Linked DNA regions of Notamacropus eugenii. The protein of the gene in region 2 interacts with the protein of the main gene of each other region in a biochemical or structural test. Links are inferred from orthologs where the notes say so. Each region holds a gene or a part of one and is shown on either strand. Other genes may lie near its edges. The genes, in order: FBH1, RAD51 and RAD54B.

The links.
Region 1: the proteins of RAD51 (region 2) and FBH1 form a complex in vitro, tested with the Homo sapiens proteins (2 studies listed by BioGRID, with this or other methods). The link is inferred for Notamacropus eugenii from reciprocal best matches to the Homo sapiens genes RAD51 and FBH1.
Region 3: the proteins of RAD51 (region 2) and RAD54B form a complex in vitro, tested with the Homo sapiens proteins (2 studies listed by BioGRID). The link is inferred for Notamacropus eugenii from reciprocal best matches to the Homo sapiens genes RAD51 and RAD54B.

The regions. Positions count from the first base shown.
Region 1 is NC_092874.1:209,712,526-209,723,522, reverse strand, and holds the start of FBH1 (F-box DNA helicase 1), read right to left. Parts: upstream 5,832-10,997; 5' UTR 5,760-5,831; coding exon 5,759-5,759; exon of another isoform or gene 5,750-5,758; coding exon of another isoform or gene 5,749-5,749; intron 1-5,748. Other genes in the region: ANKRD16 (ankyrin repeat domain-containing protein 16), read left to right, coding at 7,601-7,959. UniProt on the Homo sapiens protein: 3'-5' DNA helicase and substrate-recognition component of the SCF(FBH1) E3 ubiquitin ligase complex that plays a key role in response to stalled/damaged replication forks.
Region 2 is NC_092878.1:26,856,302-26,859,901, reverse strand, and holds the start of RAD51 (DNA repair protein RAD51 homolog 1), read right to left. Parts: upstream 2,188-3,600; 5' UTR 2,165-2,187; intron 1,617-2,164; exon of another isoform or gene 1,400-1,616; intron 1-1,399.
Region 3 is NC_092875.1:158,614,099-158,625,095, reverse strand, and holds the start of RAD54B (DNA repair and recombination protein RAD54B), read right to left. Parts: upstream 5,574-10,997; 5' UTR 5,478-5,573; coding exon 5,443-5,477; intron 1-5,442. UniProt on the Homo sapiens protein: Involved in DNA repair and mitotic recombination. May play an active role in recombination processes in concert with other members of the RAD52 epistasis group.

The DNA.
Region 1 (10,997 bases), on a different chromosome or scaffold from region 2:
TGAACAGGAAGTTTTCAGAAGAAATTAAAGCTTATGTATAGCAATATGAAAAAAATACTCTAAATCACTATTAATTAGAAAAATATAAAATAAAACAACAGTGTGGGACCATCTCACATCTATCAGACTGGCTAAAATGATAAAAAAGTAAAATGACAAATGTCGGAGGGGATATGGAGAGCAATTTGGAACCATGCCCAAAGTGCTATAAAACTGCATACCCTTTTCCCCAGCTATATGCCACTACTAGGTCAGTATCCCACAGATCAAAGAAAAATGAAAAGGACCTATATTTACATATTTATAATAGCTCTTCTTGTGGTAACAAAGAATTGGAAATTGATGGGATGTCCATCAATAGGGGAATGGCTAAACAAGTTGTGTTATATGATTTTGATAGAATGTTATGGTATAACAAATGATTAGTGGGAAGTAAGATTTATGCAGTCTTATGAACTGATGCAAAGTGAAGTGATTAGAACCAGAACACTACATAGTAACTGCTGTACTGTAGGATGAGCAACTGTATATGACTTAGTTCTTCTCAGCAATTCAATAATCAAAGACAATTTTAAAGGATTCATGATGAAAAACGCTATGTACCTCCAGAGAAAGAATTGATGGAGTCTGAATGCACATCAAAGCATGCTTTTTTAAATTTTATTTTTCTTGGGCTTTTTGGTCTTTTTTCTTTTGCAACATAGGTAACATGGAAATGCTTTGTATGACTGCCACATGTATACTTCAGTCATTTCAGTGGTGTCCAACTCTTTGTGACCTTGTTTAGGGTCCTCCTGGCAAAGATATTGCAGTGGTTTACCATTTCCAAGTCCAGTTCATTTTACAGATGTGAAAACTAAGGCAAACAAGGTCAAGTGACTTACCCAGGGTCATAAAGACACATATTGTCTGAAGCCAGGTTTGAACTCATGTCCTCCTGACTGGCACTCTAGAGATGACACTCTATCACTGGGCCACCTAGCTGCTACTGCACATGTACAATCTTTATTAAATTGCTTGTTTTCTCAAGATGGGAGGAAGGGGAAAGAGAATTTGGGACTCAAAATTTTAAAAAATTTATGTTAAAAATTGTTCTAACATGTAACTGAGGAAAATTTTTTTAAAAGAACAAAATATACTTTTAAGAGAATGTTCAAAATTCCTTCATGAACCCAGTATACAATTTACTGTTCTTGGCCATACCCCATGCTTTCCTGCCTTTGATTATCCTATTTCCTAGAATGGTATGCCTTCCTCCCCACTTACTCCCCTGAAAAAAAAAAACAACTCAACTTAGGCTTTCAAATTCCCAGCCTAACCTTCAAGACCCAACTCAAACTTGACTAACATGAATCATCCCTTCCCTGAACCCATAAGCAAAAATCAATTTCTCCCTCACATAATTTCCAAAGCATTTTGTACTTTTTACTTAACTTTCAAATTCTACCTTCCATTAGTTATTTGTATACATGTCATTTTTTAAACCAGATTTCAAACTACTTGAAGGCACGATCTGTATAGAATAATAAAGTTTTAAAATGTTAAAATTGGAATGGACTTTAAAAGATCAATTTTAAATCCTTTTATTTATATATAAGAAAAATGTGTCCCAAAGCAATTAAGTGACATAACAATGTCACCTGGCCAGTAAGTGTCAGATACAGATCTAGTATGCAGATTTTCATGCCCCTTTGTTCAGAGTTTCACCATGTTCTGTTTTATTAGTAGTGGCGAACCTGACATGGTGGATCAGTTAGTTTCAATGCCAAGAAGTCAAGTCTCATCATTGCCACACGCTGGTCATATAGCTTTAAGTATGTCATTTATCCTTTTGGTATTCTGGGCAATTCTCTAAGACTCTAAGTTGCAGAGACTGTATTGGTAGATGTTTTCTCATCTGGGAATTCCTAGTATCAATGAAATCACAAGTCTAGTCCTTAATTCCCTATCCCAATGTTACTGCTAGCAATAATAACACTACTTCACATTTATATGGCATTTTAAAGTTTTATCATCTTTGCATCTCTCCTAGTGCTGAGAAGAGTACTCATAGCTGATGCTCAAAAAATATTTATTAAATTGACACAATTAACATATTTGGATAAATTAATTTAACAGATTAGCTAGTTGTCCTAGAAAGCAGAAAACAGTTCATTAAGGAGGATATATACACAAGTCAATAAAATTTTGATGGGAGAAGAAAGGGATGGGGGTTTGAATCTAGAGTACAAGGAAATACTGCTCAAGGACCAGGTCCAGATCAGATGTCAGAAGGTGGGACTTCTAAGTATTATGAAGAAACAACACGTGAGGATGGAGACTATTGAAAAACTTTATGAAAATTCTGTGGCAATGGAAGAACTAGACTGGGAGGATGGAGTCCCAACTCTGTCACTGCGATCTTAGTCAAGTCATCTCCCCTCTGAGTTTCTTTGTCTACAAAATTCCAAAATTAGATTGCTGTTGTTCAGTTATTTCTGACTTTCCGTGAACCTATTTGGGGTTTTCTTGGCAAAGATACTGCAAAGGTTCTCCAGCTGATTTCATGAATCAGGAATTTCAGCCAACAAAGCTCAGTGACTTGCCTAGGGTCACAAAGCTAGTATCTGAAGCCAAATTTGAAGTTAGGAAGATGCCCAAAAAATTAGATTAGATGATCTCAAAAGTCTCATTCAAAAAATCCTTATGATTACCAACTTTACAGTGACTCTTTAAAATGGCAGCAATAGTAATAACCTATTTACTTACATACGTACTATCCTGTTTGCTCCTCATAAATTTGTGAAGTAAACAGGGCAGGCTATAATTTTCTCCTTTTCTACACATAGTCTAAGACAGAAGTAAATACCACGGTGACACAGCTAGTTGTCGGTGCAGCCTAGCTCTCCTAGAGCAGTCCTTTCATTGCTCCTACACCAGCTCTCCCTCAATTATCCCCTCTACACAGATGATAGTTAGCGTTTACATAGTACTTTAAGAGTTCTACATGTTATTTCGTGTGACCCTCACAAACACCCTGTAAGGCTGGGGCAATTATCTTCATTTTACAGATGAGAAAACTAAGGCTCAAATGAAGTGACTTGATCAGGGTCACAAAGCTTATAAATTATCTGAGGTGCAATTTGAATTCAGATCTTCCCTGCTCCAAATCCAGGATTCATATTCTCTTTACCACCTAGCAATGATTCCTGAATCTACTTCATCCAGCCACAGTTTCTCTTCTCCTGAGCATTATCAGCCCTCCCTCACTCAAAACAAAGTCATGTGCAAGTCATGTCATTATTTCTCTGACGGCATGGTCTTCTTCGGCAACAAAGGACAAATACACATCAACTACCTACTGGACATTTTGAACTAGATGTTTCATAGGAATAATGAACTCAGCATATGTAAAAGAGAACTCAGTATCTTACCCCTCCCTCCTAAACTCATCCTTCTTAAAAACTTCCAATTCCTGTGGAGGGCTCTATCACCATTACACCACCTAGGTTTCCCTCACTTCCTCAACCCATGTAGCTCAATCAGTTGTCAAATCTTCTATCTCCACAATACCTCCTGGAAAAGTCCCTAATTTTCTACTTATACTAGCTAGACTGGCTTTTTTGTTCCAAAAAAGCACACAATTCTTCCTTTGTGCCTTTGTATTGTTTCCCATGTCTAGAATGCTCTCCTTCACTTCGAACTCTTAGTATACCTTCCTTCAAGATTCAGCTCAATTGTTACCTTCTGCACAAGGCCTTGCCTTCTGCACAAGGCCTTTCCTCTTCTCCCATCTTGGCTGCTAGTTCTTTTCCCTTCAAATATTACTTTCCTTCTACACAGGCAAAAAGCATTTATTAAGCACCTATTATGCGCCAGGCACTCTAATAAATGCTGAGGGTACCCTTGACAAGCTTACATTTTAATGAGGAAAAAACATACATAAAGGTGAATCCTAAAAAGAGGGAAGGGGAGGTACCCAATGGGGGCATGGTGGCTAAATACAGAGAAGGTGGGATGGTTGATCTGGACCTTCTCCCAAAATGGGAGTTTGAGGAAAAACTCACCTACCGGTGTATGTGTTTACGTGTGAGCGTACATGCTGTCTCTCCCATTAGAATATGGGAGAAGTAAAATATAAGAGAATGGTACATATATCTACATATACTAAAATTAGTATATACATATATGCATATATATGTATATATACACATACTTGGAACATAAGAGAATTAGAATATAAACTCCTTGAGGTCAGAGGCTGTTTTTACTTTTCTTTTGTACCCCCAGTACTTATTACAGTGCCTAGTACACAGTTACATGCTCAATACAAGCCTGTGATTGCCAGATATGACATGGAGGGCAGGACAGAAGAGAAGGTAAGATGTGATAGAAGAGACAGAAGCTTAACTAGGTAAGAATGGATGTTAACAGGCAGAGTTGGAGTTAAAGTCCTTCCTGGAAGTAGGGATTCAGAATGGTACCGAAGGTACAATGGGGAGGGGATAAGAAAAGTGAGTAAGTCCAGGAAAGGGACTATCTTGAACACCAAACCAAACTAAGTCCTGGAAAGATAAGTTTTCACCATTTAATCAGCTTCCAATGTCATGCTGAAGCATTTGTATTCTATTCTGTAAGCAATTAATGAAGGTTTTTGAAAAGGGAAGGAAGCAAAGTAGTTATGTTTTGTTTTTACTAAGATGATAAAAAGGGAAAAAAATATCCAGCCCTGGCTCACAATGTGGAAACTGCAAAACCGAACTCGGGCCTCTCCCAATCTTATTTCACCCAATCTCTATCTAATTCTGAGAAATTACTATTTGTGGAGGGTGCCTCCTGGACCACAGCAACTTACTCTCAAGTGCCTTCTCTCTCTCCCTCCCTCCCTTCCCTCCTCCTCCATCTCCATCATCTTCTCTCTCCTCATCTCCTTCCTCTCTCTCTCTCTCTCTCTCTCTCTCTCTCTCTCTCTCTCTCTCTCTCTCTCTCTCTCTCTCTCTCTCTCAATAAGAAACGGAGATGGAGAAATGGCAGCTGTGAGAAACCCCTCAGAGTAGGGAGAGCAGCAGCGCAGCCGGAAGACACCACCACAACGAAAAGGAAAGCACGGCTACTCAGACACCAGAAGATGGTGGGGTTCGGTCTCCTGGTCCATGCAGCTCCTCCCGGCTGTGTTTTTGCATTGCCAGGCACACGTCAGCCAGTCTCATCCCGCGCTGCCCTCAGTCCCGGCGGCCTCCCCACCTGCTCCTACAGCCCCGCCCAGCTGGCCATCCCCGGGGTCTCGGCCTACCAACTGGCGTTTTCCCTCCCAGCCGTGCCCCACAAGAGTCCTCCTCCCACCTCCTCCCCACCCGCTTAGTCTTTCCCCAATAGAACGAAAGCTCCTTGAGGGCAAAGATTTTTCTTTTGGCTCGAGTACGTATTCCGCGAAGTCCAGGACATTCTAAAAGCTCCGTAAAAGCTTTCCACCCCTCCACCTCTTCTCTAGTCTTCCGTAGAATCACAGAATGTTAAGAGCTGAAAGGGGCTTTCTTTCCTTTGAGATCTAATCCAAGCCCCTCATTTTACGGAGGAGGAAACAGGCCAGGGAAGGAACATGACTCTTCTAAGGTCACACAGCCCGTGGAAATAAACAAACGCATCCGTGGGATCAGAAACCGGCGGTCGTAGTTCAGCTTCTAAATCTGCCAAACAGGCGCGGGCTTGGCCATCCCCTCCACCTCTTTCCCCAGTCCCAGTCCCCGCCCGCACCCGCAAAGCACCCACTCTCACGGACTTGGGCATTTCAGTGTGGCTGCTCCCGCCGCGCAGATGCCGCCTCCTCCTCCTCTGCCAACAGCCCCGCCCCTCCCCCCCTTCCGGCCTTTTTTTCCCTTCCGGCCTTTTCCTCTTCCGGCCTTTTTTCCCCCTTCCGGCCTTTTCCCCCTTCCGCCCCTTCGATCCTTCCGCTCCTTCCGGCTTGGTCCCAAACTTCCCAAAACGCTACATCACAAAGTAGGACTCGGATTTCCTGTGACTTCCTCCCTTAAATCCCACCCCCTCATCTCCAGCCGATGCAATTACGACGACCACCACATCAAACCCATACGCGCACAACCAACAAACAAAAAACACTCCACCATGGAATTAATTGACTGCCCTCTCGACCAATAGAAATGCCGATGCAGACTGCCACCCAATGACAAGCCTCGGCTCTTCCTCTTATTTCTTATTCATTCTGATCTTAGAGACAAAAGAGAATTTTCTCGGGTTCTCTACTTTGGCGGAAGGAGGAGAACTGCTTTACAGTCTTAGACCAGGTGGATCGTAGTATCTTAGGTCTAGACCTGGAAGGGACCTCAGAGGCAAGCAACCCTCTTGTCTTACAGATGAGAAAACAAGTACAGAAAAGCTGTCACTTGCCAATGGTCAGTCAACAAGCATTTATTAAGAGCCTGCTATATGCCAGTGGTGCCAAATTCTGGGGGGGAAGGCAAAAAAGTAAAGATAAAAATAAAAAAAATCCTGGCTCTAGGGGCTCACTGACTAAAGTGATGGGGGGAGGGAGGTGTCGCTCAGCTAGTACGTGTATGAGGCAGGATTTGAAGCCAGGTATATCTGACTCCACTGAGAGCTAAGGGAGTAGATCTTACTTTTAGTGTGGGAGGGATGCTTAGAGATCATCCAATCCTTGCATTTCACAGATGAGGAAATTAGGGTTCAAAGTTGGTACCAGAAGAATGGATATCAAATTCCATTCAAAAGGAATTTAGTAAATTATTGCTTAGGATTGAGAATGCCAGACTGGCAATGAAGAAGATCTAAGTTTAAACCTTGAATCCTTTGATACATTGTTATCTGGCACTTAATGAATATCAGTAGTAGCTCCTTCTCCCGAGACCATAGAAAAATCCAAAAATACACGGCGTAAAGGCATAGAATTTTTTTTTTAATTTCCAGTTCCACATTCTCTCACTCCCTCCACCCTGTCTCCTCTCTTCCCCACCCACTGAGAAGGAAAGAAAATACGCTGCCCATTCTACACATACACTCCTAAAGTACAGAACTCTGACTCCAGTCAAGTCTGTTAGTTCCTCCCCCAGCATCATTTGCATCATCTATAAAATCAGGAGGTTGGCCTAAAAGACCTTGGAGGTCTCTTCCTCTCTCGATCTAGGATGCTACGAATTCTGTCCCATCCTTGCTCACTCCCGATGACATACACCTGTCCACGCTGATGTACTCGCACACATTCCCTGCGAGGCGTCCCTTTAATGCCATTTTAAACTTTGACACATCCCGGGAAACAGAGGCGGCTGGGAGGAGTAGGAGGAGTCTGAGCGCTCCTAGAATGAAACCCCGTTAAGTCCCAGCCCCGGCTCCCAGAAACCGCCTTCAGGGAGCGATGGTTCCGGCCAAAGTCCTGCGATAACGGGCGCAGAAGGAAGGAAGGGCCTCGAGCCCCGCGCTCCCTCCTTTCGTACTCCCTGGGCTCCGCCAGAGGACTTGCGGAGGAGGCTCGCAGGCCGCGAGGCGGCGCCTCAGGCTGGGGAGGCCGCCCGGACTCCCTCCCCTCCCCCTCCGCTAGCGCCGCGCGCCCCTGGGGAGCCTCCCACGGAGTCCAAGCGGCGGCTCTCTCATGGCCCTCCGCCGGCGCGTGGAGGAAGCCCAGCTGCAGGAACGGCTCTTCAGGCTGATCCAGGAGGGGCAGCTCAGGCCCTTGCAGGAGGAACTTGGGAGAGCGGAGCACGGCCGCAGCTGGCACGTGAAGAACGCGTGCCCGGGCAGGGGAGGTGACACCCTCCTACATTCTGCGGCCCGGCACGGGCATCGGGACATCCTAGCCTACCTGGTGGAAGCGTGGGAGCTGGACATCGAGGCCCCTAACCGGGACTACAAGCGACCGCTGCATGAGGCGGCCTCCCTGGGACACCGGGACTGTGTGCTGTACCTGCTGAAAAGAGGGGCGACTGTGGACTGCCTGAAGAAGGGGGACTGGTAGGTGAGAAGGGTCTGGAGGTGTCCGTAGGCGAAGCCCTGCCTGAAGACAGGCTATGGCTTCTGTCTCCCTGAACTGCTGGCTCATCGTTCAGTCGAGCATCCCGCCCCCAACAACCTTTTCCAAAAATGCAGTAGACAGGGCAAGTAAACGACTGCTTCTGGAGTGCCTGCTGTGCGTCTTGTGCAGGCAGAGTTAACGGAGAAGTGAAAGAAAAATGTAAAACGTTTCCCTTATCCTTAAAGAGTCCAACATCTGGCGTTCAAAGAACATAACGTAGTAGTGAGAGTAATTGACATGCCTGTAGTCCTTCATCTCCTTCACCTCTTAACAACAAGGTACCCCAGATACTTTGATAGGTACTACAAGTGTTGTTCTGTTTTACAGATGAGATCTCTGTTCAAATGCCATCTTATCAGATGATCCAGGGTAAGTCATCTAGCCTTCAGACCCCTCAGTTGCCTTATATGTAAAATGTAGATAATAATACTCGTGCTGTCTAAGTCTTCAAGTTATTGTGAGGAAAGCACATTGCAAACCTTAGAGCACTACGTGCATGTAAATTCTCGGCTTTTTTGGTTGGATAATCACCTTATTAACTGGATTTATTTTTCTAATTTACATTTTACCATTACAATTACAATTTACATTTTCTGACTTTGCCATTTTTCCCTACCAAGTTTTGTGAGACTGGTTCATTCCCCCACCCACTGTGCTGGGTCTGCAAACCTCTGTTGAGAAATCCTTGCCTTCCAGGATTATTTTTCATGTTATGAATCAGAGATATAAACAATAGACAGTTGGAATGATAAACTAAATACCAGCCCAGATCCTATAAAATGGAAGCACTCCTATAACAGAAGTGTTGAAATATTACACTAATTTTGGTAGGCATAATTTATTCTTTCCATCTCTAAATCTCTAGATTTTATGAATGAAATAGAGTGGCATAGAAAATAAAGAACTGGCCTTGGAACCATACATACTTAACTGTATGACTGAGTAAGTCCTTAAATCTTTAGGTGTTCAAGGCAACTGTCTTAGGAATATTAACTGACAAACAAAATGCTGACCTGTATAGAAGAGTATGCTAACAGGAAAAGCTACCAGAGACCCTCACCATGTGGGCTGGGCTAGTTCTTTTCCTTAAAAAGGTATTGAAACTGTCATGAAGACTTAAATGGCTTAAGGGCTAAAGGCCAAGGTTACATACCTAACTCCCTGGTCACTTAAATACAAAAATCTACAAAGACCTTCAGCCCCACTCTGATGCTAGGTCTGTTGCGGGACAAATCAACCAAAGTATCTTCTGTGCATATCCTTGTTGGATGCACTTTTTCCTGCCATGACCAAATAAACTGTCTTTTGTAACTGTTGAATGACTTACAAATGTCTCATTTTGTTCCAGTATTGGACCTAAACTATCAAGGGATTAGCCTGAGTCAGGTGAAGCCCACCACAAAGTGGCTACCTCATATCAATGAAATTACAGATCACTGTAATGCATAACATTTCAGGACAATCAAACAGTGCAACACACATTTTTAAAAAATTGCTATGTACCAGGCACTCTCTGGAGATACACACACACACACACACACACACACACACACACACACAAGAAATGATACCTTCTGTTAATGAGCTTACAGTCTGTTGAGAGAGACAACATGTAAATATCTAAATACAGAATGGACACAATGGAGATACGGCCACAGTACATAGGGAGGACTGTGACAGTATGGAGAGTGATGTTGGAGCCTCCTTGGAAGGACATGAGGGATTCTATGAGGCGAAGGTGAGAAAGGCACCATTTGTGAGAGAGAAGGCCAATTTGCTTGGACCATGGAGTGCAGGAATGGAAGGAGTACATAACAAGGCTGGAGAGATCAGTATGGGTCAAGTTGTAAATAGCTTTAAATCCCAAACAGAAGAGTTTACATTTGATTCTAGAAGTAATAGGTAGTCCCTGGAGTTTATTGAATAGGAGAGTGACATAGTCAGATCTACACTTAAGGAATATAATTTTGGAAGTTACATAATAGTGGTGATAGACTTGAAGCAGTGATACTAATTAGGTAGCCATTATATTAGCTCAGGTGAAAGGTAATAAGGTCCTAAAACTAATATGGTGACTATTAATATAAAGAAGGAATTGGATAGGGAGATATGATGGAAAGACAAATGTCAAAATTTAATAATAGATTGAATGTGGGGTGAAAGTGAGGAGTCAAGGATTATACTCAGGTTACAAAGGTGGAATACTGGAACAATGGTGATGCTCTTGATAGAAATAGGTTCAGGGGAGGTAAGAATTCTAGAGAGATATGAGTTCTTTTTTGATCTTGTTGAGTTTGAGATGCTTACAGGACATCCAGTATGATGTGTCCAATAGGCAGTTGGAGTTTTAAGACTGGAGTTCAGGAAAAAAATAGAGATCTGAAAATCATCTTCATAAGGATGATAAATTAGCAAACCCATGGAAGCTGATGAAGTCAAAGAAAATATATAGAAAAAAGAAAAGTGGACCCAGGACCAAGTATTGGGAATAACCACAGATAGGAAAAATAATGTAGATGATGAGCAAGCAAAAAAAAATTACGAAAGAGTGGTCAGGCAGATTAAAAAAATGAACCCGGAGAGAGTACTATCACAAAAACCAAGAAAGGATTGAATGCCCAGGAGGAGTGGGTGATCAACTTATTCACTTTTTTGTATAACATAGTAAGATACAAAAACTGTTTTAAATTCTACAAGGGAAAGGAATTTCTAGCACACTACAAAATTAAAGGGTTTTTTTTTTGTTTTGGTTTGGTTTTTTTGGTCCTATGCAGCAGAGAGGTCAAGAAGGATGAGGACTGAGAAAAGATCACAAGTCTGGCAACTTGGAAATCCTTGGTAACTTTCAAGAGAACATTTTCAGGTGAATGAGTAAAAATACAGATGGCAAAAGGATGAGAAATAGAAGGAAAGGAAGTGGAGACAACGAGTATAGTTAACTTTTCCTAAGAGTTTGGTTGTAAAAGGAAGGAGAGAT
Region 2 (3,600 bases):
CTTGACTATCCTGAAGCTTCCTGGCTGGAGCACTCCTGTCTAAGCGGGAAAGTCTCTGAAAGCTGTGCTTGCCTTGCTTAGCTCCTCTGGCCTCAGTGCCTATGGTCTTCTGGGTATTCTTTTTTTGCCACCCAAGGCTGGATGAAGGAACTTACTTGATTTTTCTGTTTCTTAATCATAATTTGGCTTGGTGCTTTTGTTTTATCTTTTCTGGAGTACATATGAGGGAACTGGGCTGCTCTGCCACCTTGACTGGAAGTCTACTTATTTCAGTGAAACTGGACTGCTCTCCAATGACAATCCCTGTGCCTTTGATCAATGGCCCTCAGCATCTGGAATGCATCTCCTTCTCCCCATTCTCCACCTGTTGCAATATCTCACCACCCCTCAGTAATCTCTCCATCCTTGGACCGTTTGCTTCACACTTCTATTATGCACTTATATTTCCAGTTTGTATTGTAGTCATCTGAACATTGGTCTTGTTTTCCTAACTAGATTATAACCCTAAGGGCAAGGGCTTTTTTTTCATCTTTGTATACCTGCCATTGTTTAGCCCCAAAGCAGAAAGGAGGGAGGGAATAAGCAATTATATATCACCTGCTATGCTCCAGACACTGTACTAAGAGTGTTTTACAATGATCTTCACAACAACCCTGCAAGAAAGGTGTTGTTATTATCCCCATTTTACAGTCGAGGAGACTGAGGCAAACAGAGAGTAAGAGTCTTGCCCAGGGTCACATGGTGTCTGAAACTGAATTCATGCCCAGGGTTCCCTTGACTGTGCCACAGTCACTCAGTTACCACTGGTTGAATTGAACTTATCCTCAGATAAGTCAAACTTCAGGGTGTCAATGAGACATCCAATTCAAAATGTCCGTTACGCAATTGATAAAGTAGCTCAGGAAAGAGGCTGGTATTGGAGTTATCTGAGTTATCTGAACAGTGATGGTAATTAAATCCATGGGAATTGATGAGGTTTCCAAGAGGAAGAGTCTAGAGGAAGAACCTAGTTGGGGAACATGTGGTCAGTCAGTCAACACACATTTATTAAAGACCTACTATGTGCGCAACATTCCTCTAAGCGCTGCAGATCCAAAGAAAAGCAAAAACCAACCAGACAAACAAAATCAATCCCTGCTCTCGAGGCATACATAATATGGGTGATGAACCAGCAAAGGAGACAAATGACAGCAATCAGACAGGTAGGAGAACAAGGTGGTGCCATGGAAGGACAGCGTATCTAGCAGGAGAGGGTGGTCAGTAATGATGAATGCAGCATAGAGATTGAGAAGGATTAGAACTGAGAAATGACCAGATTCAACAATTAAGGAATCATTAGTAACTTTGGAGAGAGTAGATTCAGTGGAGTGGCAGGTTAGAAACACTATAAGAAACTTACATGTTCCCTTACTTTGGAAGCTCTTTACCAGCACGTGATCCTTGAACAAGTTCCTCACCTTCTGGTGGAACTTTTTCTGAAGCAAGTGAAATGTACAAAAACTTGAAATAGACGTAAGAGAAGAAACAAAAGGCGTCAGAGAAATTGTAAAAAGAAGAGATCTATTCTTAGTTTATAGTCAGGGACAGTTGGAACTGACAGTAACAGTTAGAATGTTCCACTGAGATTGGGTCTAACTGCTTTTAAACCCTTCCAAGACCTGAAAGGCTAAGCACCACATAGAAGGCTCATCCTTTCACCCAAAAGGCTGTCCTGCAGGGAAGCAGTGTGGTGGGGTAGTTAAAAAGTCAAGACCCCTTAAGGTCTTCTTTCACGTCGGGCAAGTCACTTTCCATCTGTTATAAATATCCTGCCAGTGCTGAGAAAATGGAGATCAGTCCTAGAGCATTTGAAAAGTCTTGAAAGCAAAGCACAGAAAAGCATAAAGATGGCTTCTTGGATGCCAGACAGGCTGCTCAGCTCTCACATATCCCAGCAAAACCGTGAAGTTTGCACTGTGTGGAATCCAGGTCAATAAATCAAATGAAAAATTCAAGTAACTACTTCTACCCCGGAACTACATAAGAGATCAGCCAGAAGTAGGAGGACGATAGAAATGGAGTCTGCCAGCAAAGCCAGTGGCAGCCCAGGACAGCCTCTCATTTCTCTCTCGCTTCAATTTCTGACCCTCCAGACTTTACTATTATATTTCAGGGACCTTCTCACCTTGGGTTCCTTCCACCCTTGTGGCCTTCTTAACCTGGAAGATCCCGTTCCCTCTCAGAACTCCTCCCCAGGCCAACCATGCCTTCATTCCCCTTCTGGTTCTGTTTCTTTAGACTTTGCCACCGTGCCTCTAAGAAGGTATCTCTCCCACTTTCCCATCCCGTGCTTTTCAGTTCCCTTTTATGTGCTGTCTTCCTTCATTATAATGAAAGTCTCTAGAGGGCGAAGACTCTTCTTTTTGCTTGTTTTTATCCCTCACTCCTGGCAAAAGTGCATAGTAGGCACTTAGTAAAGCTTGATGACTTAACACTAAAGACTGGACAGAGATATGTACAGCTTGCAAGGCTCTGTGTTCAGAGGCAGTAAGGGAGAACTCTACAAAAAAGACCCAGGTTGGTCAGGAAACCAACAGTGATACCCTGGGAAGCAGCAGTGGGCAGCTACCAGGGTGGCACCGTAGCTTTCATAATGGAACACCCCAGGCTCAGAGGCTCTGAGGTGCCAGAAAGGGCCCTGAAGATACAGCAGTCTGAACTTCAAAGATCCAAGGGATTGTAATCCCTGGAGGTGGAGGTAAGTGTAGGAACCCAGGGGACTCAGGGCAAGGTCAAGCAGGGTCAATCATCCGGACCAAAACTTGAACAGGAGGTGGAGCCTGGCCTTGGCACAAAGCCTCAGTTCAGGAACCAAAGATGAATAAATCAATGAAAACACCAATCAATATTAAAAAATTACAAATCTGGAGATATACTAAAATGCAACAATTACAAAAGTTATTGTTCAGTGGTGTCTGACTCTGTGACCCCATTTGGGATTTTCTTGGTAAAGATACTGGAGTGGTTTACCATTTCCTTCTCCAGATCATTTTACAAATGTGGAAACCAAGACAAACAGGGTTAAGTGACTTATCCAGGGTTTCATAACTAGTAAGTGTCTGCAGACAGATTTGAATTCTGAGGATGAATCTTTCTGACTCCAGGCCCAGCACTGTATCCACTGTCCCAATTACAAGAGGCTCAAAAGAAAAAATGGATTTTCCACAAAAATTACATGAATACCTAAAGGAAATTAAACAAGAAATATGAAATAAAAGCTTTTGAGAAAAGAACTGGGAGAATAAGTAGCTTAGAAGAGAGTAAATCTTAGTTTAAAAAGTCAAGAAATAGAATCTATGAAAACTAGATCAAAAAGATATCAATGACTCCATTAGACATCAAGAAATCTTCACAAAATCAAAAGATTTTGTAAAAGAAAATGTAAGATATCTGATATTTAAAATAGGTCAAGGCAGGATAATTTAAGACTCTTAAAAACCATGATTAAAAAAAATTCCATGGATACTATATTTCAAGAAATCATAAATGAAAAGTGCTCAGATCTTTTAGAATCATTTATCATCTCCTGACAGGTATTCCCAAGGGAAAAGCAAAAGATTG
Region 3 (10,997 bases), on a different chromosome or scaffold from region 2:
TATCCCCAAGTCCTGTTTCTATCTCTGTAGTTTGCTTCAGATCTTTCACCTCAATGATCTTTACTACTGCAGGGTCATTCCAGTAGAGACTGGGACTTACCTCACCCTCTGAGCTGGTCACATTTGGGCTGGGGGAAAAGTGGGGGGGTTGGCTTTGCCTCTTTCCTTATGTCCTTAACTATTATCCTAAATCTCCCCACTGGGTCCTTCCCAGTGACATCCAACCCCAATCCATAGGAGAGGTTTACTTTAGAACATCTGCACTGGTGATGATCAAGATTAGGGGGTTACATTTCATATTCCCACAATTAGGAATAAAGGTACAACAATTCCCTCCTATCATTTTACACACTCATCCTTTTTCAGCTAATATTATACAAAGGCCATCCTATTTTCCCAGGCAATTCGACTAGTTGCATCCAATTGCCCTGCTATTCCCCTTACTGCAATCCCACAAAGGGATCCTGGGTCTGGACCACTGAGAAAGCTAACCTTATCTTGTACTGCCCTATCTGCAGTGGGGAAGGTCCACCCATTGAATTGGGTAGTGATCCAGACCTGATTCCATGTATGGCATGTTCCCCTATTAAAGCTTAAGTGGGTTTCTGGGCATACATACTTAGCACAATAGGTCAGCCTCCTTTGATTTTCCACATATCCAAATTCAATTATTTGGCAGGCATCAAATCAGACAGTTTGAGGAGTTTCCTTCTTTAGGACCTCAATTTGGAGATTAATTGGATAACCCCTATCCCCTTTCCACCATTCTACTGGTGTCCACATCTCTGCTATTGACTCACAGTTCTTGTTAACCCATCCTAGCCCCATTGCTGTGATCAAATCTAAAATTATGGGTGTCTATCTCCCCTCCTTTCTCAGCCTTCCTCTTATCTTCTCAGGAAAAATACAACTTATAAATAATAATTCCAGCAATATTAGCAGTACTATCACTAATACCACTTCTGTCATACGAAAGGAGTACACTTCTTGGGGTCCCTACAGACCCAAAAATCAACAATTATCACCCAAATCACAAATAATGCCCCAATCTCAAAGATTACTCATCCAAATTCATCAATCAATTCTTTTTCAAGGTTAATTTCAATGGTGACATTTGTGGCTCTACCCTCCACTGGTTGGGTAGTGGAGCAGTAGGTGTGGTTGGTGGCTCTCCCTTGAATCCTTTGACTCAAGTATAATGTGTCCACCCTTTTTCAGCTATCCCAACCACGGTTTTAGTAGTCAGACTGATATTCTATAATATTTCTATAAAATTTAGGCAATTATGTTCCAAGTTTTCGCCACCATCTGTTTTTCCTTTTGACAAGAAGGAGGCTGAGTTTAAGCAAGATTCAGTGGTCAGAATTAAATCGTCCTTTTCCATCAATATAGCCTCATATTTCAAGATCCTAGAATCTGTGAGCCATCTTTCCAGCCTGCTGATTGAGAATAGTTCTTATATGATGCAGAGTGTTTACTATCAAGGCCCATCTGTCATAAAGACCCCAGACTCAATTCTAAAGTTGGAGTTTCATGCAGTTTATTTGAGAGGCTAAGGGCTATTCCTTCGGTTCTCCAGAAAAGCAAGTACACCTCCTCAGGAAGGGAGAATGTACTGAATACAGAAGTAAAAGCAAGCTTTACAGGGTTAGTAGCTGCAACTCCTCCCTTCTAGATGAGGATTAGTCCTGGTCCTTCTGGGTCACAGTCTTCTTTATACGTCCATTTCATGTAACTCCTTAGTATGTCCCCCCTTCCTAATCATGCAATGCACAGTCACTTAATGAGGTCCTAATCATATGCGAGGCGGGTAAGATAATATGCATAAGGTTCATTGAGCATGTACAGTAGCTAGTAGTTACTGACCGGAGTTTAACCCTGGCTGGTTTGAGCCAGTTTGGCTAGGGCCCCTGAGTTTATGGTTTCTGGGCCCCCTTTCATTCATTGTTGATTGATCAGGACCTTTATCTTGTCTTAGCAATTTTTCATCTATCGTCAGGCTGAAGGGCCATCTGATTTGGACTGTGTGAAAACTTAACCTATAGAATTATATATACTTATTACTTACACCTTTAAAACTTGACTTTCTACACCTGTACATACTCCAGCCATCCTCAGGATACTGGATCCAACATTTTGGATAAAAACGCTACTGGTCTTCATTGGCCTCCCCAATTCTGAGTCAAAACTCCTAGAGCAACACTCTGATCTACAGTAACAAATAAATGGAAAGGCTTTTCTAGAGAGGGCAGGGCCAACACTGAAGCTTTAATCAAATCTTGTTTCAATTCCTCAAATAACCTGTTCTCTTCAGTAGTCCATTTTATTGTGTCTGGTTCCTCAGTGAGTAGCTTTAAATATAAGCTTTTAGTTATCTGTGCATAAGAATCAATCCATAGCCTACAACACCAATCAAACTCAGAAACTTTCTTAATTCCCTCAGTTCTAGGTAGAGATATTCTTTCTATTCCTTCTGGATTGATTTTTCTTTGTCCCTCACTGATTAGGTGCCCCAGATATTTCACCTGTCTTTTTGCAAAATGCAGTTTAGTTTTAGATACCCTCGATCCTTATTCTGCTAAAAAGTTCAGCAACTCAAATGGCCTCTGCCACTCCTTTCCTCTTTTTTCCTGATATTAGCAAATCATCCACATATTGTATTAATGTTGTCCCTTAGAGGTGCAGGATGTTATCTAACACCTGTTCCAATACCTGACCGAATAAATTTGGGGATCCTATGAATCCCTCAGGAAGTATAGTCCATCTATACTGTAGTTTCCTACCTGTGGAGGGATTTTCCCATTCAAATGAAAACAAGTACCTACTTTCTTTAGTTAGTGGGCAGGCCCAGAGGGCCTCCTTCAGATCTACTACACTGAACCACTTGTGTTCACAGGGAATTCTACTTAACAGGGTATAAGGGTTCAGAACTACAGGATGTCTGATCATCACAATTTTGTTTAGGGCTCTCAGATACTGAGCCATTTTGTACATTCCAACCATCTTTCTGACAAGAACAGGGTTGTTAAAAGCAGGACATGCAAGGTTCTCCGAGTCCATCTTTTACCAAATTTTCCAAAACTGGCTGGAGTCATCTCTTTCCTTCCATTGGGATGGAATATTGTCTCACTCGTAATGCTTCTTCATTCTTTAGTGTGATCTTCACAGGCTCAATCTGCAATCTCCATCTGTTTCCTTCCTTAGCCCACACTATTGGGTCAATAGTCCTCTCATCTTCTTTTAGTATTGACATCCCAATTATTATTTGCTCATTCTTATCTGTTTTCAAGACTAATTGTATAATTATATATCTCCCTAACAGGTTGGTTCCCACCTCAAGGATATAGAGAAGACTCTCTGTGACCTGCCTCTGTCCTAACATTAAACTGACTGGTTCAAATATGGGTACTGAAAATACCCCTCTCTTAACCCCAGAAACAGTTAGATTCTGATCTGAGAATTTGATATCTGTTGGTTTGAAATTCAATGAGGACCAAGCGGCCCCCATATCTAACAAGAACACCACATCCTCTTCTCTGGGTCCCACCTTGATGTTTGTCAGGGGTTCCAAGTGGAACCTAATATAAGAAAACCCCTGACTCCCCTGATCTTCCTCAAAATTCATCAGGGGAATAATCCTTTCTTCCTTCTCCAGAATGGGACATTCTTTCTTAAAATGTCACTGTTTCCCACAATGGAAAGATCCAGTCTGCTGGACAGGGTGAAAAGTCCCTCTATGGCCCCTTCCTCCTCCATAACTCCTTTGTTTCTCAGCCCCCCAGTTTCCACCTTTACAATTATATCCTCCTTGTTCATGCTTTTTCTTCATTATCTCATTCACAGTAGTTACCATAATTCTAGCTTTCTGTTTTTGCTTTTCTTTCTCTCTTTTCACAAACACTTTCTGTGCTTCCAACAATAGTTCCTCCAATGGCTTCTCACTCTAGCCCTTTATCTTTTGTACTGTCTTTCTTATATCAGGTCATGCCTTAGCCACAAAATGCACTTTCAATAATCCTTTTGCCATTGAGGGGTCAGGGTCCATTCCCAAGTATTTCCTCATCTGATCTCTCAGCCTCTTCAAAAAGGCTGAGGGTTTTTCTTCTTTGGTTTGCTTTATCTCAAAGGCTTTAAAGAAGTTTTATGATGTAGGGGCAGCTTCCTTTATGCCCTTAATTATCATGTCCCTCAGATCTCTCATCATTACTTTATCAGCCACTCTACTGTTATCCCAATTTGGGTCTATATTGGGAAATTTCTGCTCTACAGCCATACTCCCAGTCCTAGAGGGTGTTGCTTCTCCCATTCTTGAATGGCTGCTCTTCTAATAATACTTCTTTCTTCCCCTTAAAATAATATGTTCATTATACACATCATTTCCAGCCAAGTGTAAAAATTAAGTCCTAAGAACTGGTCTAATTGTTCAACTAACCCTATTGGGTACTCAATTAGAGATTTCATTCCCTTTTTAAAATTTTGGACCTCAGTACCTGTGAGAGGTGCATTTACAAGTCCAATCTCACCTCACCCCATTGGCACTTCTTTTAATAGGTACATTGGTTCCCTCACTTCCTCTCTCCCTTCGGATTTCAGGGAATGGGAGATTCTGTACATCCTTTTTGCATTGCTCTAGTTCTTTCCTCAATCTAGCATATCAAAAAACATCCAGCTTTGGTGGGAACACACCGGACTTTTTTCCTGGCTCTTCTTGTTCCTTACACCCTGGACTTTTACATAGGTCACTTAAATCTATCCTGGCAATTCTCCCAAAGGAGGAGTCTGACAGGAGCAATTAAGCGGGAGAAAGGGACTTCAAGGAATTCCAAGGGTCCCTTTCCCTCATGTATGTTTTAGCACTACCCTGGTTCTCTAATTGGAGCGGGAACAATTGGTTGTCAAACTCCCTCTCCAAAGTAACCTGACTCTTCTTTGGAGAAGGATTATTTATCATTTATTTATCATTAACAAAAACATTCAGAGCCTGACACAGCCATTCTTCAACAGCCCCATATTTGGGCCAACATATGGCCAGTGATATAATACTCTGCTTTGGCCACTCAAACTAACAATACCTGATCATTTTGTTTTTATCTCTATCTTTGGCCTCTGACATATTCTTCCAATATTTTAGCTTTCTCTCCAAAGGATTATCTGGAGGAATGCTAATGCTCACAGAAGAATTCACTTCCTTTCTATGAGGGGAATCCTCCCCTTTTGGTGCCTTACTTCCTTTATTCCCCATTCTACCCTCCCTCTGAGACTTCAGACTGACCATTGAACTCCCCCGTTTCACCCCTTTTGGTGTTTCCCTTGTAGGACAGAACAACAGATCTAGGCTTCACACTCACTTTGTACCAATAGTCTTGGTCACACACACTCAGTCTCAGACTTATAGAATGATCCCAACCATCAAGGTAATATTTAATAGTCCAATTTTCTTACCTTGATTTGTGCACAGTTACCTGGTTGCCAGGCATGTGCCAATGATTTATCTCAGTGTTCTGGCTTCAGTTTCCCAAACAGTCTCAGGATCTTGGGCAGTCTCGAGAGCGGACCATTTGCCCATACTCTGGGCCACTGAAATCAATGAGATAATACCTCCCATTCTCCATACTGGCTCCTCCCCTCCTTGATTCCTGGATCCCAGATGAGCTCCCCAAATTGTGAGAAACATGCTTGCAAAGGAATAGGACCTTAACTAATGAAGGCAAGAAAGTGTTTTATTACATTCTTGCAAGAGCTGGTTTCCTATACATATGCACACCAAGTGCTGGGCACAGTCAGCTTTTATCCCTATTTCCAACTATGAGATCCTTTCCAAAGTCCTCCAATAGCTATGAGGTGTACACACATCATTCGTGTTTCCCTTGTCCCTCTCTCATCATGAATCACATGTATATTAAAATACACTGCTCCCACCTTGGGAGAGGATAAGGTTAATATGTATGAGCTTATTAACCACGGGTAAATGCCTTTGCCTTCTGACCTAATAATGGATCTTTGTTGCCAAACTGCACTTCTGATCTACACCAGCTAGTTTCTTGCTTATGTCCTGCTATGTTGTCTCACTCTTTCTTTCGGTGTTAGGTTCTTCTTTTATTTCTGTGAAAATATAACTATCTCTTCATTTCTCATATTCATAATCTCCTCAAACCTTATCGCATGTCAAATTTGATTCCATCAATTTCCTCAGGCTCATCCTCCCACTTCCCTCAGTTGATACTAGTCTCAAACTCCCTAGGCCCATTTTGGCTCCAACATCAGTTCCTCTTCAGCATCCAGCCTTCTTATCTTTTACAATTACTTTCCCTAGATATTTTCTGGCTATATTCCTGCCATGTTTCTGCTTCTCACTCCCCTCTCATCCCTCTCTTATTGCCTTTATTCTGGGAGTAGTAGCAAAAAAAAATCAACACTATCATTCTCTACGTACCATCTCCTTGATTTTCTAGACCACAATCCACCTCCTGGAACACTGTTTCCAAATATGTGTGGTCTTCTCTAATTTGAATCTAAATTTCTTGAGGGCCAGGAACTATCTTGTTTTTTGCACTTAGATTCTCAGGGTTAAGCACATACTAAGTGCTTAATAAATGCTTTTTCATTCGCTCATCCTGTATCCCAGATTCACTCCTACTCAGATCCCTCTACCTAGTAAATCACTTTTCTCTTCACCCATAGCACCCCCTTCTCCTAACATTCTTCCCTTCCAAATACTTTTTCACCTATATCCTCCTACCCCCAAAACCATTATGTCCTGGACTTCAAGGTGAATTGGGATCCAAGATGAAAATGGAACATAGAGTGAAAAATTCCAAAATAATACGCAGCAGGGAGTTCTAGAATAATGTGGGTATCAATATGAAGGGGTGGTGAGTACAAACCCAGTAGTTCATAGGCTCAAAAGATCATAGACATGGAGCTCAAAAGGACCTTTGAGACTATCAGTGAGACTACCTCTCATTTTCCAGTGAGGAAACTGAGAATCAAAGAGATTAAGTGATTTGCCCATGGTCATACTACTAGTTAGTATATGAGACAGGATTTGAACCTGGGTTTTTCTGAATCCAGAAGACAGCAAAAGGAAATTCAGAGACATAGGTAAACAGGACAATTTTAGAACTATAGTATTAAATTTATTATATACTTAAAAAAACCAGGCAATATATAACAGAGATTCAAGATTTCACATACTCTTATTCTTCTGTGTATGTGTAAATAATCATGCTTGCTGACATCTATCAAGTTTATAATAATTTTAAAGTTTTGTAAAAAGTTTCTTAGATTCAGTAGTAGAGCCAGCCAGCCTTTCAAGTAGCAATACACTTCAATTTGCATAACTGAATCTTGGAGAGTTTAAAAAAAATCCACTGTTAAGTTTAGGAAGGTGCCCAGATGATAGCTAAGAATGAGAATATGGTATTTATAGGTCTACCCAAATTATGAGATTAGCATATTAGGCATACAAAGCAAAAGGCTTGTGCTTCCAAATTTTGGGGGAAAACAATGTTTGGTTTTTTTTTAACGTTCACCATGATCCCTTCTTAGCTCATGCACAATGATAAATGTGTCACAAAGACAAAATGGGAAAGCAAATCTGTGGCATTACCAAGCAGCTCTCAGGTTGAGTGCTATAAATGGTTGGGGAAGAAGGAAAAAGCTAATTCTGAGAGTATTCTCAAGAGCCAAGCAAGAATAATAGTAGGTCAGAGGGAGAAGGTTATCATTACATATTTGGACCATGACTCCCTATGAATGGCCATTTTTCTCATAAGGAAAGAATAAAAGGTTTAGAAGACTCAAGGTAGAGAATAAAGAAAGGCCTAGTTTAAGTAGGTAAATATATCTATTCACAGTTGGGGACCACTTCCAGGGAAGTGAATTTAGTGAGATTCTATATATGCCCAAAAGAGAAGTAATACTAGAGTATTGCCACTGTCACTAGTAGCCTGCCATGAGCAGGATTAAGTGTATCTGAAATATGATATTAGGGTAGGGAACCTGTCATATTTCCTAAGGTCCTCTCTCAGCATTTCTCATGGGAGATTTTATGGTTCATATACTTGACCTTATCCAACAGAGCTAAAGTTTATCCCTTCTTCTGTTCTCTGTCAGCTAGAGCTCAACCAAATCAATTAAAAGAATCTTCCTGGGTATGGGAGGAAAAAATATGTCATCAACATACAACATTGAACTATTTTGGAAAACATCAGAGTTGAGAATCTGTGTATCAAAGTATGTAGAACAAAGTACTCCCCAAAGAAAGCCCTGGGAGGTCAGAAGCTAATAGGAAGGACCCCAGAATCTCTAGTCCAGGGCTGTAGTATTTAAGACTCTCCAGGACAAGTCCCTAATATTCTCATGATCCAGAACTCTGAACCTCAAAGACCTTAAGGTACCTAACCAAAGAAAATCAGTCAGCGAAAGAACCTAGGTAAAACTAAGCAGGACAGACCACACTACCCAAAAGTTCAGTAAGGGGCAGAGTCTGGTTCTGGCACAAAGCCACATTTCAGGAACTAAAGCTTGAAAGATGAGCAAACAAATATTGGAGAGGATGTGGAAAAATTGGGACACTTCACTGTTGGTGAAATAGTGAAACGATCCAACCACTTTGTTAAGCAATCTGGAACTTTGCCCAAACTATCTGTCTGTCTGTCTGTCTGTCTGTCTGTCTCTCTCTCTCTCTCTCTATCTATTTATCTATCTATATGTATATATATATATATATCATTTGATCTATCTATATCTATCTATCTATCTATCTATCTATCTATCTATATATATATCATTTGACCCAGCAATACCACTACTTGGTCTATTTCCAAAGATGATTAGGCAGAAAGGAAAAAAACCTCTGCTCTAAAATGTTTATAGAGGCTCTTTCTGTGGTGGCAAAGAAAGCGATATCCATGATTGGGGAATGACTGAATAAGTTGTGGTAGATGATTATGATGGAATATTACTGTGCTGCAAAAAATGATTAGTGCAAAGATTTTTTAGAATAACATGGAAAGACTTGCATGAAATAATGAAGTGTGAAAAGAGCAGAATCAAGAGAACAACGTATACAGTAAGAGTAATACTGTCTTAAGAACAACTTTGAGTAAATAAGTTATTTTGTCTACTATAAATAACCAAATTCACTATAAAAGACATGAAGAAAGATGCTATCTGCATGCAGAGAAAGAACTGATAAACACAAGTATAGAATAGTTTTACATATACATATAAACACCTATTTGTGTCTAATAGTAGCCATCTCTAGGGAGAGGGAGTGGGGAGGGAAGAAAAAAAGGAAAAAAAAAGACATTTACATAATAATGTTGTTGTATATTTAAAAGGAATGGCAAATTGTACATAACAGTTTGCAGTTTCATGTGCAATCATCTTTTTTATTGTACTATGTTGTAGAAATGCTTCTTTTACTCCATAAATTAAAAATAAAATAATTTTTTTAAAAGATGAGCAAGCAGAAGACACACCACTAAAAAGAATTATTATAGATGCAAAGGAGACAAAAATCAACCTAGAAGCAGAGAACAATTACTTCACAACTAAAAGCAAGGACTCAAAGAAAAAAAACTCCACATATATTACATGTAGTATAACTATCAAGAAGAGATGAAGAGATGAAAAAAAATGCAATAAAAGCTCTGAAAGAAATGAAATGGGAATAATAAACTTAGAAGACAAAGTGGCAATCCTTATCCAAGTAAGATAATCCCTGAAATGAGAACAGACCAAGGAGAAACCTGTAGAGGGCCGAGCTCTGGACTGTGGCCCCCTGGTGAGCCCGGAGACCCCGGGGGTGAGAACCCGCCTTCGGGTGCTGGGAACACCCCTTCCGGAGCTGAGCTCTGCCTCCAGGGTGGAACATGGGAGGAGCTACGGCAGGCTATATAAGGGGGAACACGGGAAGGTAGGGAGAACTGGGGTAAGCAATAAAGTGCAGTAAGCAGCTCCTCTGGTGAACTGTTTGGTCATTCCCCTCCCCCACAGGAGGGGGCCGGAACCGTTGGAAGACCAGGTAAAGCAGTTGGAGAGGTAAGCTCCAGGCCACAGCTCAGGGCTGGCCCTGAGCAGAAACCAATGACTTCTTCAGACAATAACAAATATTGGGACAAAACTCAAAAGAATGAAAAAATACAGTAAAACATAAGTCATCTGATATCAAAAGCAAATGACTTGGAAAACAAATCAAAGAGACAGGTAATGTAAAAATCAGACTTCTTGAAAACCATGATTTTTTAAAAAGTTTAAACAGTATAGTGCAAGAAATCATAAATGAAAATTATCCAGATCTATTAGAAACAGAAGGCAAAATTAAAATAGAAAAAATCCACCAACTGTCTCCTAAAAGAAACCCCAAAAAGAAACAAGCACTAGGAATGCCCAACCAAAATCCAGAGTTTCCATATCAGTGAAAAAATATTTCAAGCATGAAGGAGTGGCAAAGCCTTGGTAACAAATACTAGTTAGGATCACACAAGACCTGACAGCTTTTACAATGAGCCGGAAGAAGGTTTAGAACATAACATTAAAAAAAAATTGATTTACTACTAAGCGTAAATTACCTGTAAAAGCTACATATAATCCAAGGGGGTAAATGAACTTTTTAGTGGAATATAGGACTTTCAAGTATTTCTAATAAAAAGACCAGAAACTCAGTAAGAACTGTGAAATTAAAATGAATCAAAAGAAACCTAGAAAAGTAAATTGATTTTGAAACACTGGAAGGGACTCTCTGATGAAGGTCTAAACGTTCAGTAGGGGTGAACCTTAATGTTTTTAAAGGATATTGAGGGAATTAGACAAGAAAGCAGTAGTCCTGGGTTTACACACTTTTTCTATTCTGAGGGTTTTAAGAGAGGAAAGAGAAGGGAATATAAAATGAATACACTAACACAGAAAAAAAAAAAGGATAGGGGGTAGAATTTATTATTTCTCCTAAATGGAGTATGTGAGAAGTTCACTGGCAAGGAGGAAGGGGGTGG